Linked DNA regions of Anolis sagrei. The protein of the gene in region 2 binds, or shares a complex with, the protein of the main gene of each other region. Links are inferred from orthologs where the notes say so. Each region holds a gene or a part of one and is shown on either strand. Other genes may lie near its edges.

Evidence for each region. Proteins that work in one complex are often made in the same cells at the same time.
Region 1: CC2D2A (region 2) and TMEM237 share a complex: the UniProt entries of both Homo sapiens proteins name them as parts of the tectonic-like complex. The link is inferred for Anolis sagrei from reciprocal best matches to the Homo sapiens genes CC2D2A and TMEM237.

What each region holds. Positions count from the first base shown.
Region 1 is NC_090021.1:164,683,171-164,690,305, reverse strand, and holds the start of TMEM237 (transmembrane protein 237), read left to right. Parts: upstream 1-4,117; 5' UTR 4,118-4,217; coding exon 4,218-4,235; intron 4,236-7,135. Other genes in the region: MPP4 (MAGUK p55 subfamily member 4), read left to right, coding at 1-47. UniProt on the Homo sapiens protein: Component of the transition zone in primary cilia. Required for ciliogenesis.
Region 2 is NC_090025.1:108,186,522-108,194,179, reverse strand, and holds the start of CC2D2A (coiled-coil and C2 domain-containing protein 2A), read right to left. Parts: upstream 3,054-7,658; 5' UTR 2,899-3,053; intron 1-2,898. UniProt on the Homo sapiens protein: Component of the tectonic-like complex, a complex localized at the transition zone of primary cilia and acting as a barrier that prevents diffusion of transmembrane proteins between the cilia and plasma membranes.

The DNA.
Region 1 (7,135 bases), on a different chromosome or scaffold from region 2:
CTCAGTGGGTCCCAGCAACATGGATTTGCTCAGAGAATCAGCCATAATTTCCAAGACTAGACAGATTTACACTGATTGTATAGAGTTCATGCTTCACTACAACATTAATCATAATGCTGGGACTGCCAGATAAAATATATCTTTGTTTAAAGGGATTTTGGAGATGATTCAAGCAAGAAGCTATAAAATTCTTGGACATAGTCCATATCACTTTGAGCCAGGAACTAAAGCTTAATAAACCAGCAACTGAGCAAGCAATATGCTGATGCAATTCACTCCTTTTTGGTGTAGGGAGATAAACAAAATATTTTTGGGGTTTTTTTTGTCTAAACCAGTGGTTCTCAACCTGTGGGTCCCCAGATATTTTGGTCTACAACTTCCAGAAATCCCAGCCAGTTTACCAGCTGTTAGAATTTCTGGAAGTTGAAGAACAAAACATCTGGGAACCCACAGGTTGGGAACCACTGGTATAAACAAACTAAACTAGACAATTATAGTAGTATTATATTGCTTTAATTGCCACAGTTCCACCTTACGGGGTCCTGGGATCTGTAGCTTGATGTAGTATTTACTGCTTGTGATGGCAGAGATCTCTAGGGCTGGAGTTCAGGATAGTTCATTAGAAAACCGTCACCACCCAAATCCTGTGGGATGGAGTCATGGCCATTAAACTGTGGATGCATGCCAGAATCCACAAGGCAGTAGCACACCTCATTTCACTGTCTGGTTTATCAAACCAAAACTCATGGCTTAAAGTGAAGAGAAATGAAACCACTATGTGATGTGGTGTCCTTAAACACTGTGTATTCAGTAACATTAATTTGGTTCCAAAACACTGTTAGGTTGTAGTGTCAGAATGTAATGTAATTGTTATGGGGAAAAATTAAAAGAATTTATTTTGTTGCATTTATCTGTTTGAGCCAGTTGTAGTCATCATATTGTTTTCCACATTTGGGGATTTTGTAAGATTTCTTCTCCTTTCAGCATTCAGAAGTTTGAGAATTCCCTCCCGCCCCCAAAAAACATAAGTTAACAAGACAGTCTTTTGTGCTATAAACTATCTCTTCTTGGTTGTTGACAGTTATTTAGTGGGAATGACACCAAGGAAGAGGAGTTTTCTTTGCATTCATTTCTGGCCTTGGCCAATTCGCAAACATCAAGGTTCCAGGATCACTTTGTGACACCATGTGACCCACAGAAGGAAAAGTGCTGCAAGAATGGCTGTTAGTCATCTCAAGATGCTCCAAGGATTAGGGTTAGGGTTATTAGTCAATCAGCTCCTGATTTGTCTGATAAAACCTTGGGACTTTAGGCGATCCCTCGCTATTCGAGTAGGATTGTCTTCCAAGATTGGTGTACTGGAGGTGGATCCGTAGGTGGCTGTGGAGCCCTATTCTTGACCTGCATCTTCTCCCGCAGTGAGGGCATTGGTTTCCAGGTGGAAGGCGGTCCCGGTTGGAGTTGGCTTGATATGCCTTCCTCTTGGCACGTTTCTCTCTTTCACCCTCCATTCGTGCCTCTTCTTTTTTTTTTTTTTTAATAATTTTTTTATTGATTTATCACATTTATTACATACTATTGCATTTTATACATCAACCTCTTTAACATGTTGTTTTATTGTTTTGCTTTGACAATTCCCCTCCTTTTCTCTTTTTTTTTCCTTTTTTTTCCCCCCCGCCACAGTACTCCCCTCCACCCGTCTCAAGCCACCATTCTTACATTTCATCTGTCCAAAATTTCATTTCTTCTTGTGACGGTAATTTTCCTTCCTTATTTTTTAATCCATTCGTGCCTCTTCAAATTCTATAGCACTGCTGGTCACAGCTGACCTCCAGCTGGAGCACTCAAGGGCCAGGGCTTCCCAGTTCTCAGTGTCTATGCCACAGTTTTTGAGGTTGGCTTTGAGCCCATCTTTAAATCTCTTTTCCTGTTCTCCAACGTTCTGTTTTCCATTCTTGAGTTCGGAGTAGAGCAACTGCTTTGGGAGACAGTGGTCAGGCATCCGGACAACGTGGCCAGTCCAGCGGAGTTGATGGCAGAGGACAATCGCTTCAGTGCTGGTGGTCTTTGCTTCTTCCAGCACGCTGACATTTGTCCCCTTGTCTTCCCAAGAGATTTGCAGGATTTTCCAGAGGGAGCACTGATGGAATCATTCTAGGAGTTGCATGTGTAGACAGTCCACATCTCACAGGCATCTAGCAGGGTTGGGAGGACAATAGCTTTATAAACAAGCATCTTGGTATCCCTACGGATGTCCCGATCCTCAAAGAGGACCTAATCTACAACTGAAACTTGGTGCCGTCCAGAGGGCAACTTGGTGACTGACATTGTACAACAATTCCTTGAATATAAACAGATTGTAACAGCTGGCTTAGAATGTAATGACATATCGCACATACATATGTATTTATTTATTTACAGTATTTACATACCACCTTTCTCAGCCCTTGGGGGGGCTCAAAGCGGTTAAATGTTTTTCCCCTGACATTAAGTCCAGTCGTGTCTGACTCTGAGGGTGTAGTGGTCATCTCTATTTCTAAGCCGAAGAGCTGGCGTTGTCCATAGACACCTCCAAGGTCATGTGGCCAGCATGACTGCACGGAGCGCTGTTACCTTCCTGCCGGAGTGGTACCTATTAATTTACTCACATTTGCATGTTTTCGAAGTGCTAGGTTGGCAGAAGCTGGGGCTAACAGCAAGAGCTCACACCGCTCCCCACATTCGAACCAGCAACCTTTTGGTCAGCAAGTTGAGCAGCTCAGTGGTTTAACCTGCTGTGCCACCGGAGGCTTCTTAGTAACATTATGTGACATGATTTTTGTTCCTGGGTTGTAAATGTCATTTCCTTTTTCTTTTCTTTCAAAAAGATAATACACCAACCATATATATTGCAGAAATATACAGGGTTAGTCAAAATGCATAGGCCAATAAGCCATTCAATTGAATGGCTTATTGGCCTATGCATTTTGACTAACCCTGTACACATACACATACACATACGTAGACAACCCGCCACCCACAGTAGTTACCCCTCAACCCACCCCCAGTGCTATCCGCCACCTTGGCTTCTGTCACTGATCCCCGCAGGATTTATGCACATCTTGTTTAACCCTCTATACTTCTAATTCAATAAATTCCTCTTGTTTTTATTTCTTTAGCTCTCCCATCAAGTATGCTAAGGCCAGCTTCCAGTTTCTTTCAAATATTTCATGACTTTCATATTTTAAATTGCTAGAAATCTTAGCCATCTGTGTGTAATCCCACAGTTTATCCTTCCAATCATTGATGCTTAATGTTTTCTCCCCTTTCCAGTCTTTGGCAATTGTAATGCGTGCAGCCACAAAGCTGTACAAACAAAATTCTCTCTCTGGTTGTTCAGTGTGTCCCCAGGTGTTTTGGCCTACAACTCCCAGAAGTCCCAGCCAGTTTACCAACTGTTAGGATTTCTGGGAGTTGAAGGCCAAAACATCTGGGGACCCACAGGTTGAGAACCACTGATCTAATCTATCCCTGAATATCCCTAATAGGCACATCCCTGGGTTCTTTTTTTTTACTTTGTTGTGAATCATTTTATTTGTTTCCTTTATTATTCTTTTCCAATAGACCTGCACCAGTTCACAAGCCCACCATCCATGAAAAAAGTCCCTTTCTTTGTTTTGCAATAAATGTCATTTCCTAATTGGTTCTATTATAAAAAAACATGGGGAAAGTTGATGAAATTGCAAAAACTTTGTTTTGGCGGGACATTCTGCAGCACATTTTGCTGTAGTCTTTCAATGACTAGGCTGGATCTACACTGCCATATAACCCAGATCATCAAAGCAAGATAATCCACATTGACTGCTTTTAATAGTTTTCCTCACAACTGAATAAAATCCTACTTGGAACTGGGATATATGGCAGTGTGGACTCAGGTATTCCAGTTCAAAGCAGAGATTGTGGGGTTATTCTGCCCTGATATTCTGTGTTGCTTAGTTGTCAACACATCCAGATGGCATTGGAAGAGTTGGGTCTGTTTACTTGCCTGGTCTTGCAATCTCAGGGTTGCCATGAAATCCTTTGGAGGGGTTTCCCTGGCCGAGTGTTGCGATTGGGGGAGGCCTTGGTGACGTTTTTTGGACTTCCTTCCCTTCCCTCCCTTGGAGACCGGGAGGCGTCGCCTGCCTGGGAGAAAGAGAGAGAGAGAGAGAGAGAGAGAGAGAGAGGCCTGCAGCGCCATGGAGACCGCCCGCCCGGTGAGGGGAATGAGAACACGCTCTCGCCGCGCGATAAAAACCCTGTCCGCACCGGGGCTGAGGAGTGGAGGAGGGGAAGGGCTCCCCCGCAGAACACCACTCAAGACCATCGGATGGGGCCGCCGCCTTAGCTGCCTTCAAGCCTGTGTCTCTACACCAGGCCTGGGCCAACTTAGGCCCTCCCTCCAGGTGTTTTGGACTTCAACTCCCACAATTCCTCACAGCCTCAGGCCCCTGGGCCTGAGGCTGTGAGGAATTGTGGGAGTTGAAGTCCAAAACACCTGGAGGGAGGGCCCAAGTTAGCCCAGGCCTGCTCTACACAGTTTGTATTCTGAGGTATCCATCGCCATCTCGCTTTTGTGTGTGTGCCTCCCTGAAGAGAGATGAAGCAGGCCTCCCTCTATACTGCTGCCCTAATCATGCAGATTGAACTGGATTATAAAACAATGTAGACTCTTCAATACAGGCAGCCCCCAGGTTACCAATAAGAAAAGTTATGTAGGTTTGTTCTTAAGTTGAATTTGTATGTAAGTCGGAACAGGGACGTGATTTAAGTACAGGGTGAGGCTGCATAACTTCCTTTTTTAAAATGCGTGCCATTCATTCGTTTGAAGACGTAGCGGAGCGCTAGTGGTCTCGTTCGAGAGGCGGGAATATAAAGTTTTGTCCTGACACAGTTCAGTCGCCATCCTGCGTTGGAACAGGGAGGAGTGTGCTTTGGCCATTGAGGCCTACTTTTCAAGCAGATTTGGAGTGGCCAGCCCACTCTCCAGAGTTGGCCCCTTGTGATTTTTTTTCTATGGGGTTTTTTGAAATCCCGTGTTTATGTGAACCGTCCAAGGACCCTACAAGATTTGAAGGCCAACATCCAGGAAGAAACTGCCAACATCACACCTGCTATGCTGGCAAGAGTCATGACCAACGCCAAAAATCAGTTTACTCAGTGTATGGAAAATGGGGGACGTCACCTACCTCATTTGATCTTCAAAACGACGTAAAAGAAAACTTTACGTTATAAATTTTTTTAAAAAAATTCTGATTCATACAATGGGTTTTATTAAGTTTTGAAAAAAGGAAGTTATGCTGCCTCAGCCTGTGTAACTCCAGCCATATATACCCACACACATATATACTGTATTTTCTTATGCTATCTAAAGCTTGCATATACATGTGTGTGTAACTCCAGACAAATGTGTGTGTATACAAATACACATACACACACATATATATACACACATACACATATATACATGCATACACAAACACATGTACACACATATACACACATACATATATATATATACACACACACATATATATATACACACATACATACATACACACAGATATAGATACATATATACACACATATGCACACACACACACACATATATATATACATACATAGATATACACACAGATATGTACACACACACACATGGATGGAGTTACACTTAACTTCATCCAGCCAAGTATATGTGTGTGTGCGTATACACACACACAAATAATAATAATAGAAAATGAACACACAAAAATACTGTGGAACTTTCGAATCTGGACTGACAAAGTTTTGGAACACAATACACCAGACATCACGATTGTAGAAAAGAAAAACGTTTGGATTATTGATGTCTCCATACCAAGTGACAGTCGCATTGAGGAAAAACAACAAGAATAACTCAGCCATTATCAGGACCTTAAAATCAAACTGCAAAGGCTCTGGCATAAACCAGTACAGGTGGTCCCAGTAGTCACTGGCACACTGGGTGCCCTGCCAAAAGATCTCAGCTGGCATTTGGAAGCAATAAACATTGACAAAATCATGGTCTGTCAACTGCAAAAGGCCACCTTACTTGGATCAGTGCGCATCATTCAAAAATACATACGCTTGGGAAGTGTTCGACTTGTGATTTTTTTGATACGAAATCCAGCATATAGGTCTCGTTTGCTGTGACATGCTGTGTTTTTGTGTCAGTACAATAATAGTAATAATACCTTTAACTTTGAAGGAGCTGGGGGTGGCCATGGCTGAGAGGGAACTCTGGCAAAAGCTGGTCCATGAGGTGACCAAATGAATAAACAACAACAATAATAACTTTATTTTTGTATTCCGCCTCCATCTCTCCGAAGGTACTTGGGGCGCCTTACATGGGGCCAAGCCCGATCAAGACAGTTAAAATATGACACATTAAAATAAAACAACATTATAACAGAATTAAACAGGCATCACATATGGAGTTTCACAAATATATATATATATATATATATATATAGAATTGAATAACTATCGTCATTGTGCTACTGCACAAAGAAATTAGAAATTTCCATAAATGCTTTCCCCAGCACACACTCATCACTCCACAACTCACACAGCCCTCAATGCCACACCATTGTGAAACCCAGAATATCCTACAATATCTGCCATATATCCCAGTTCAAAGCAGACAATGTGGGATTTTCCACCTTGATATTCTGGGTTATATGGCTGTGTGGAAGGGCCCTTTGATTTATGGCAACCTTGTAAATGAAGTATCTCCCTGCCATCAATAGCCCTGGCCAGACCTGACAGACCCCTTCCACAGCTTCCCACATTATCTGCTGGGATATATAGCAGTGTGGACTCAGATAAACCGGTTTAAAGCGGATATTATGGGACTTTCTGCCTTGATATCCTATGTGGAAGGGCCCTCTGAGCCTTCCCTATACTATCCAAAGGATGCATGCTTTTGTGTGTGTGTGTATGAAGTTGCAATTAAATAATATATTTGTTCTGACGCATACAAATTCAACTTAAAATCAAACTTATAGAACCCAACTTGGGGGCTGCTTATATTATATTTTTGCAGTACATTCAGCCATGCTACTTATATGTGTCATGCAGAACCGTTTTCTTCACAGTT
Region 2 (7,658 bases):
CAGTCATCCAGCTTCAGTTCAAAAACGTCCAGAGAAGGAGACTCCACTGGTCTCTCAAGCAGTCTAGACTTTACTAGGGTTTGAAGAGACCCCCAAAGAACACCTAGTCCAACCACCTTAAGCCAACACAAGACTCAAAGTACCCATGTTTTCCATGGAAAACTGGAAAAATAAAAATTTATCACTATTAGGAAGGATAGCGACAATTAAAATGAAAATACTACCGAAAATGATATTTATTTTTCAAAATTTGCCAATAATAAGAAATATGAAATTATTTAAAGATTGGAATAAAGATATAAAGAAATTTATCTGGAACAACAAAAAACCAAGAATCCATTATAATAATTTAATAGAACAAAAGGATAAGGGAGGACTAGCAGCGCCAGACCTGAAACTTTATCACGAAGCAAGCGCACTGGTCTGGGCCAGAGATTGGGCAATGCTAAAAAAGAAAAAATTACTGACATTAGAAGGAGTAGACCTAAGGGGAGGGTGGCATCTTTACATTTGGTACAAGGGAAGGGAAAAAGAAAAATTTTTTGGAAATCACTTTGTGAGATCCGCAATCTCGAAAGTATGGGAAAAATATAAAAAGAAATTCCATACAAAGACACCATTATGGGTTTCACCATTGGAGGCAACTCAAAGGAGATGTATGGGATGGAATGATTGGCCAAAATATAAAGAAATCTTGAAAAACCATCAAGGAGAGGTAATATTAAAGGAACAACAGGAACTAATCACTATAGATAAAAAAATATCATGGCTACAATACTGGCAAATCAAAGAGAAGTATAAATTAGATAAAGAAGTAGGGTTCTCAAAGGGTAAAGATTTTTGGGATAAAATACTAGAAACAGAAAGGAAACCGATAACTAAACTATACAAACAGCTTTTAGAATGGCAACTAGAATCCAAAAAAGACAAAAACTACATGAAAAGATGGAATGAAAATCTAAGAAGAAATATTAGACAATCAGAATGGGAAGAAATTTGGAGGAAAAGATTAAAATACACATATGCCACAGACCTTAGGGAAAATTGGATCAAGATGTCATTAAGATGGTACTTAACTCCAAAAAAATTAGGGAAAATATATAATAACACAAGCTCGACCTGCTGGAAATGCAAGAAGAAAGAAGGCTCCTACTACCATATGTGGTGGACCTGTGAGAAAGCGAAAGAATACTGGAAGAAGATACAGAAAGAATTACAAAACATGTTAAAAATAAATTTACCAATGAAACCAGAATTGTTTCTCTTGGGAATGTATGATAACAATATAGAAAACAATAAAGACAAAATACTATTCTTAGCATTAACGGCGGCAAGGATGTGCTATGCAAAAAAATGGAGGCAGATAGAAACACCAGAAGAAGAGGACTGGAGAACGAAAATGCTGGATATTAGTAACCTAGATAGACTTACTTTTCTACTATTGAAAAACAAGGAAAGTGGAAGAAAAGAGACAGATTGGAAAGAAGTCACCGAATACCTAAGGAAAAAGATGAATGAGACAAGGATTTAGAGGAGAAAAGAAGAAATTAAGGATGAAACTCAAAAAAAAGAAAAAAGAGGGGAAAGAAATCTCAGAAGAGAAGAAGAATAAAGAAACTTTTTCTTTTTTCCTTGTTTCTTTTTTTTTCTTTTTTTTTTCTGCTTAGATTGTATATTCTATGACAAGATGAAACCGAATGAACAGAAGATTTTTGGAAGACACCAGGAGGTCGAAATATTCCTATTTTATCCTATCTTTTTTTCCTTCTATAACTTATTTTCCTATCTATCCTCTACTCCCATCTCTACCCCTCTTTTCTTTTTACTATCAATTTTCTATTCCTTCTTTTCTCTTTCCTCTCTTTATTTTCTCTCTATTTCTTTTCCTTTTTTTTACCTATAAACATACTATGTATGGAAAATTTCAATAAAGATTATTTAAAAAAAAAAAAAAAAGACTCAAAGTACCCATGGATGGCCATCCAGACAGATTTAATCACTACAGAAGTCGAGTGTTGGTGCTGTTCAAATCTAGATACAGTTCTAACTTTGGCAAATTCAGTTGCAATAATTAATTACCACTAATTTCCTAAGTTTCTATTTTTTTAAAAAAAATTAATGTATTGGCAGTGACATTTGTGATGAACCACATGGATCAGCTATTGAGGAAAGTACTGGCAATCCCCAAGTTACAAACATCTGACTTCACAAATGACTCATAGTTAAGAACAGAAATGAGACAACAGAAAGTGCGAGAAATCTACCCCTTGGAAGGAAAATTCACTATAATTACATATACTATATTATATCGTACCGCCTTGAATCACTGATAAGGCTGAGAGTATAGTAAATAATAGTAATATAGTAATATATATAAATGGTATAGTACAATATAGTAATATATAATACTGATATGGTACTATGCTAATAATATAATATATTGTATGTATATATATCTTGTAAGCCGCTCTGAGTCCCCTTCAGGGCAAGAAGGGCGGCATATAAATGTCATAAATAAATATATCGATAATGGAAAATTGGGGAGAAAGGGTGGATAAAGTAGGTAGTTTCTCACTGTAGTTTCTTCCACTTTAAAAAAGGGGGGGGGGGCACAAGCAGTTTGTAATGCATAGCAGACAAAGAGGTCTTTGCATGTACAGCAGAATAATATATGCTGTAGCAGGGAGACTTTGGAAGGCTGAGCTAGACTACAGAATGAATATAGCTGGGTTCAGTGCTGGGAGCTGTGGTTCTACAGGGCCTTGGGCCTGCTCTATTGGGGCCTCCCCACAATTCAATAATTGCAAGGAGCTCCAATGGGAGGAACTCCTTCCGCGCGCACGAGCTTCGAACGCGAAGAGCGCGCGCTTTTCCCCGGGTTGCTCTTGTTGCACTTACCTTTTTGCTTGCAAGGAAAGGCGGGGAGTCACGAGAAGGTTTCCCAGCCGTGCAACGAAGGCCTTTTCCCGGTGTAATCGCCTTCAGCCCGCCTTCAGCCTGGGCGCTTGGCAACGAAGAAGCAGCGGGAGGAGGAGGAGGAGCAACAGCAAGAGGAGGAGGAGCTCAGAGAGTGGCCTCAAAGGCCTCAGCACTGGGCCCGCCTTCGTCCTTCCTCCAGCCCAGAGGGAAGGAAGAAGCCCAGCATCTCTGTGTTTGTCTTCTTCCTCCACAGTGCATTATATACTCAGGTACCTTTAACAGCCTCACTAAACTACAAACCCCAGAACTCTGCAGGAGGCAGAAACCGGATTAGAAGTGGATTTTTTCTCTCTAGTGCAGTGATTCTCAACCTTCTCAACTCCCAACTATAACATCATTTGAGTTGCTACTTCATAACTGTATTTTTTTCTACTGTTATGAATCGTAATGATATATTTTCATTTGCTGGACCAAATTTTACCCAAATACCCAATACAAACAAATTTTGAATACCGGTGAGGTGGGGGATTGGTTTTGCCATTTGGGAGTTATAGTCGATGGGATTTATAGTTCACCTCCAATCAAAGAGCATTCTGAACTTCATCAATGATGGAATTGAACCAAACTTGGCACACAGAATTCTAATGACCAACAGAATATACTGGAAGGGTTTGGTGGGCATTGAGTTTTGGAGTTCTAGTTCACCTACATCCAGAGAGCACTGTGGACTCAATCAATGATGGATCTGGGCCAGACTTGGCATGGATTGAGTATCTGCCCAAATATGAACACTGGTGGAGTTTGAGGGAAATAGACCTTGACATTTGGGAGTTGTAGTTGATGAGATTTATAGTTCACCTACAATCAAAGAGTGTTCTGAACTCCACTAATCAGGCATGTAGCCCCCGAAATTCTCATGGTGGTTCGCGAAAAGGCCTTACTGGTGCATTATTTAAACTGTTATGTTTATTCATATCATGATCTGATCACCATACTCAATATATCCCATATGCATGGGGGTATTGGGGTAATGATACAAAAGGTTTGCTAGGCTAGACCCTCTTTCACTCAGACTCAGCCCCCCGAAACCCCCCCCCCCGAAATTTTTTTTAGCCCCCCCAAAACGAAATCCTGGCTATGGGCCTGCCACTAATGATGGAATTGAACCAAACTTAGCACCCAGAACTCTCATAACCAACTGAATATACTGGAAGGGGTTGGTGGGGATTGACCTTGAGTTTGGGAGTTATAGTTCACCTACATCCAGAGAGCACTGTGAGCTCAATCAATGTTGGATCTGGACCAGAATTGGCACGGATTGAGTATATGCCCAAATATGAACACCGGTGGAGTTTGGGAAAAACAGACCATGACATTTGGGAGTTGTAGTTGCTGGAATTTATAGTTCACCTACAATCAAATAGCATTCTGAACCCCACCAACAAACATCCCACACAGAATCGCCCCCCCTCCACCACCTCCCCCAAGCTACTAGCTCTTGAGATCTGCAAATGCAAACAGGAATTCCTGAGTTGCTGTGAGTTTTCTGAGCAGTATGGCTCCTGACCTTTCACTCACATCTATGGCAGACATCCTCAGGGGTTGTGGGGTCTGTTGGAAACTAGGCAAGTGAGGTTTATATCTCTGTGGAGTGTCCAGGATGGGAAAAAGAACTCTTGTCTGCTTGAGGCAAGTGTGAATGTTGCAATTGGCCACCTTGATCAGCTTTTAATGGCCTTGTAGCTTCAAAAGATTTAACGATGGGCTCAAAGCCAACCTAAAAAACTCTGGCATAGACACTAAGAACTGGGAAGCCGTGGCTCTTGAGCGCTCCAGCTGGAGGTCAGCTGTGACCAGCAGGACTGCAGAATTTGAAGAGGCACGAATGGAGGGTGAAAGAGAAAAACGTGCCAAGAGGAAGGAGCGTCAAGCTAACCCAACCGGGACCACCTTCCACCTGAAAACCAATGCCCTCACTGCGGAAGAAGATGCAGATCAAGAATAGGGCTCCACAGCCACCTACAGACTCACAAGAATTCTGATCCTGGAAGACTATCCTACTCGGCCAAGGAGGGATCATCTAAGTAAGTAAGGCGCAGGTTCGCAGCTTGGGTGTGACCCTGGACTCATCGCTGAGCCTGGATCCCCAGGTTTCAGCGGTGACCAGGGGAGCATTTGCACAGCTTCGGCTCGTGCGCCAGCTGCGCCCGTATCTTGGGAAGTCTGACTTGGCCACGGTGGTACACGCTTTGGTCACATCCCGCCTCGACTACTGCAACGCTCTCTACGTGGGGCTGCCCTTGAAGACGGCCCGGAAGCTCCAGCTAGTCCAGCGCGCGGCAGCCATGTTGTTAACCGGAGCGGGACGCAGGGAGCGCACTACGCCCTTGCTGTCCCAGCTCCACTGGCTGCCGATCAGCTACTGGGCCCAATTTAAGGTGCTGGTGTTATCCTACAAAGCCCTAAACGGTTCCGGCCCAAAATACCTTGAGAACCGCATCTCGGCCTACGAGCCCACGAGGACCTTGAGATCATCCGGGGAGGCCCTTCTCTCGGTCCCGCCTGCCTCACAGGCACGCCTGGCGGGGACAAGAGAGCGGGCCTTCTCGGTGGTGGCCCCCCGGCTGTGGAACTCCCTTCCTGCTGAAATCAGACAGGCGCCTTCCCTCATGGCCTTCCGCAGGGGCCTGAAAACCTGGCTCTTCGAAAAGGCCTTCAACTAAGTGCTATGTTTTTGGAATGACCACCGGAATGGATTATGACTACGAGATTGATTATGACCCCAAACAAGACGAAGCGGATTTTTAGTTTAATTAGTTGTGTATTAGTAAGATGTGTGTTATGGTCCCGATCTATTGTAAACTGTTGTCTTTATGTTCTATGTTCTGTACACCGCCACGAGTCGCCCTCGGGCTGAGAGTGGCGGTTAACAAGTGCAAATAATAAATAAATAATAAATAAATAAGTAAAGTATGATTTTTAAATGATTGAGAGTGCCATTTTTCTCCAAAAGATTATGGAGATTCTGGTTTTCCCAAACAAATGGCTACTAAAACACGGTAACTCGGTAAGAACCATTTGCAACTTGGTGTAACTGTAACATGTTCCCACCATGAGATATACTGGGTTAAAATTGGGTCCATCATTTTTCAACATCCTACACAATTCAGCACTAGCAGTATGGGTCAGGCTGATGCCACATACAAGATCTGGCTAGAATCATGGGTTTGGGGGCCTCGTTTGCCTAAATATAGGGAAATGCACCATGGCTGGGGCTGCCCTTGAAGATCTCTTGGAAGTTTCAGATATCTCCCATGGGAATAACAAAGTTGCAATCATTTGTTTGCTCAAACTTTTCTTTTTCTGGCCAGGGCATTTTAACTTTCATCAATTGATACAACTTGCTATTGTATTCACTACTCTCTTACTGCAAGATTGCTCAAGCTGCTGTCTTGGGTTTCATTGTATTTTATTTTTTAATACTTTTGTAAACACTATGGAATCTGCTTTTATCATTGGCGATTTAATAAAAACCAAAGTATTTGTTTCACTAAAGACTTTGTTTATGAGGAGAATGGACAAAAAACTAATTTTGATTTCAGTCGAATTTATTAGAGGAATCTTTCCTTTTGGTAAAGCCTAAATACATAACCCAATTTCAGTCAAACTAAGCAACATTACTAGCTTAAATTACTTAAAGGTTAGTAAAGAAAATAATATGTTGGATCCCAGTTTTGATAGGCCCTGGTTTTATTTTATTTTCTAAATTCCCTTTTTGTTGCACTTACGGTAGATAGCAATGCAAAAATGAAAAATATAAAGAGAAACAAAGGGTCATAAATATATTTAAAATTTTCTTTAGTGCAGTATAACATGTCTAAAATGGAAATAACATTACACACTTCTGAAATTTGTGCTCTTCCCTTCATAAATGACCTACATGTTGCATTTAAACTATAAGCAATAAATGGCTATGTGGAAATATAAATTACTCAAAGAAAAGATGAGACGTTAACTAAGACAGGGCAGATGCAGTACAGTAGATGATATATAACCCACTGACTGAGATAGATGGTTTTCCTGGCCATATTTATCGCCTAAGAGTTCAGATAAATGACTTGCAGGGTTAGATTTATTGCCTGCTGTAATAGAATTCGAGAATGTACTGGATGTTTTGCATTAAACTCCAGTTACCATTTACTGATTCACCAAATTTCTCATGAAAGCATCAATAAACCCATGTCATGTTAAGTATTAAAAAGGTATCAAATGTTATATCTGTTGGTGCCAATTTTAATATCTGCTTCATTTCATCATAGAAATAGGAAGCAATTCCATAATAGAAATATTCTCATGGGATCACTCCTACTTGTTACCCCAAAATGCTTTGTCTTCACCAGGGAGAAGTTTTTCCTAACTGTTCAAAGTAATTGATGAGCAGTTCAATACAGGGCATTATCTCACATTCTCATTGGAATTTTTATCTACCATAGAACTCTCAACTGTAATGTAATGACCTGAATCCTGTTGGGACCCTAGCATCAAAATAGTTTTGTAAATGGTTTGACTTTCACAAACACAGGGAAAGCACTTTTTCTCACTTTTGACTGTGCAGAGGAAGTTATTGTCACATGGTAGAATAGTAGTTCATGCTTTAGTCACCTCAAGGTTGTGCTTCTGTAAATTTTTTATCGTGTCAGGAGTGACTTGAGAAACTGCAAGTCGCTTCTGGTATGAGA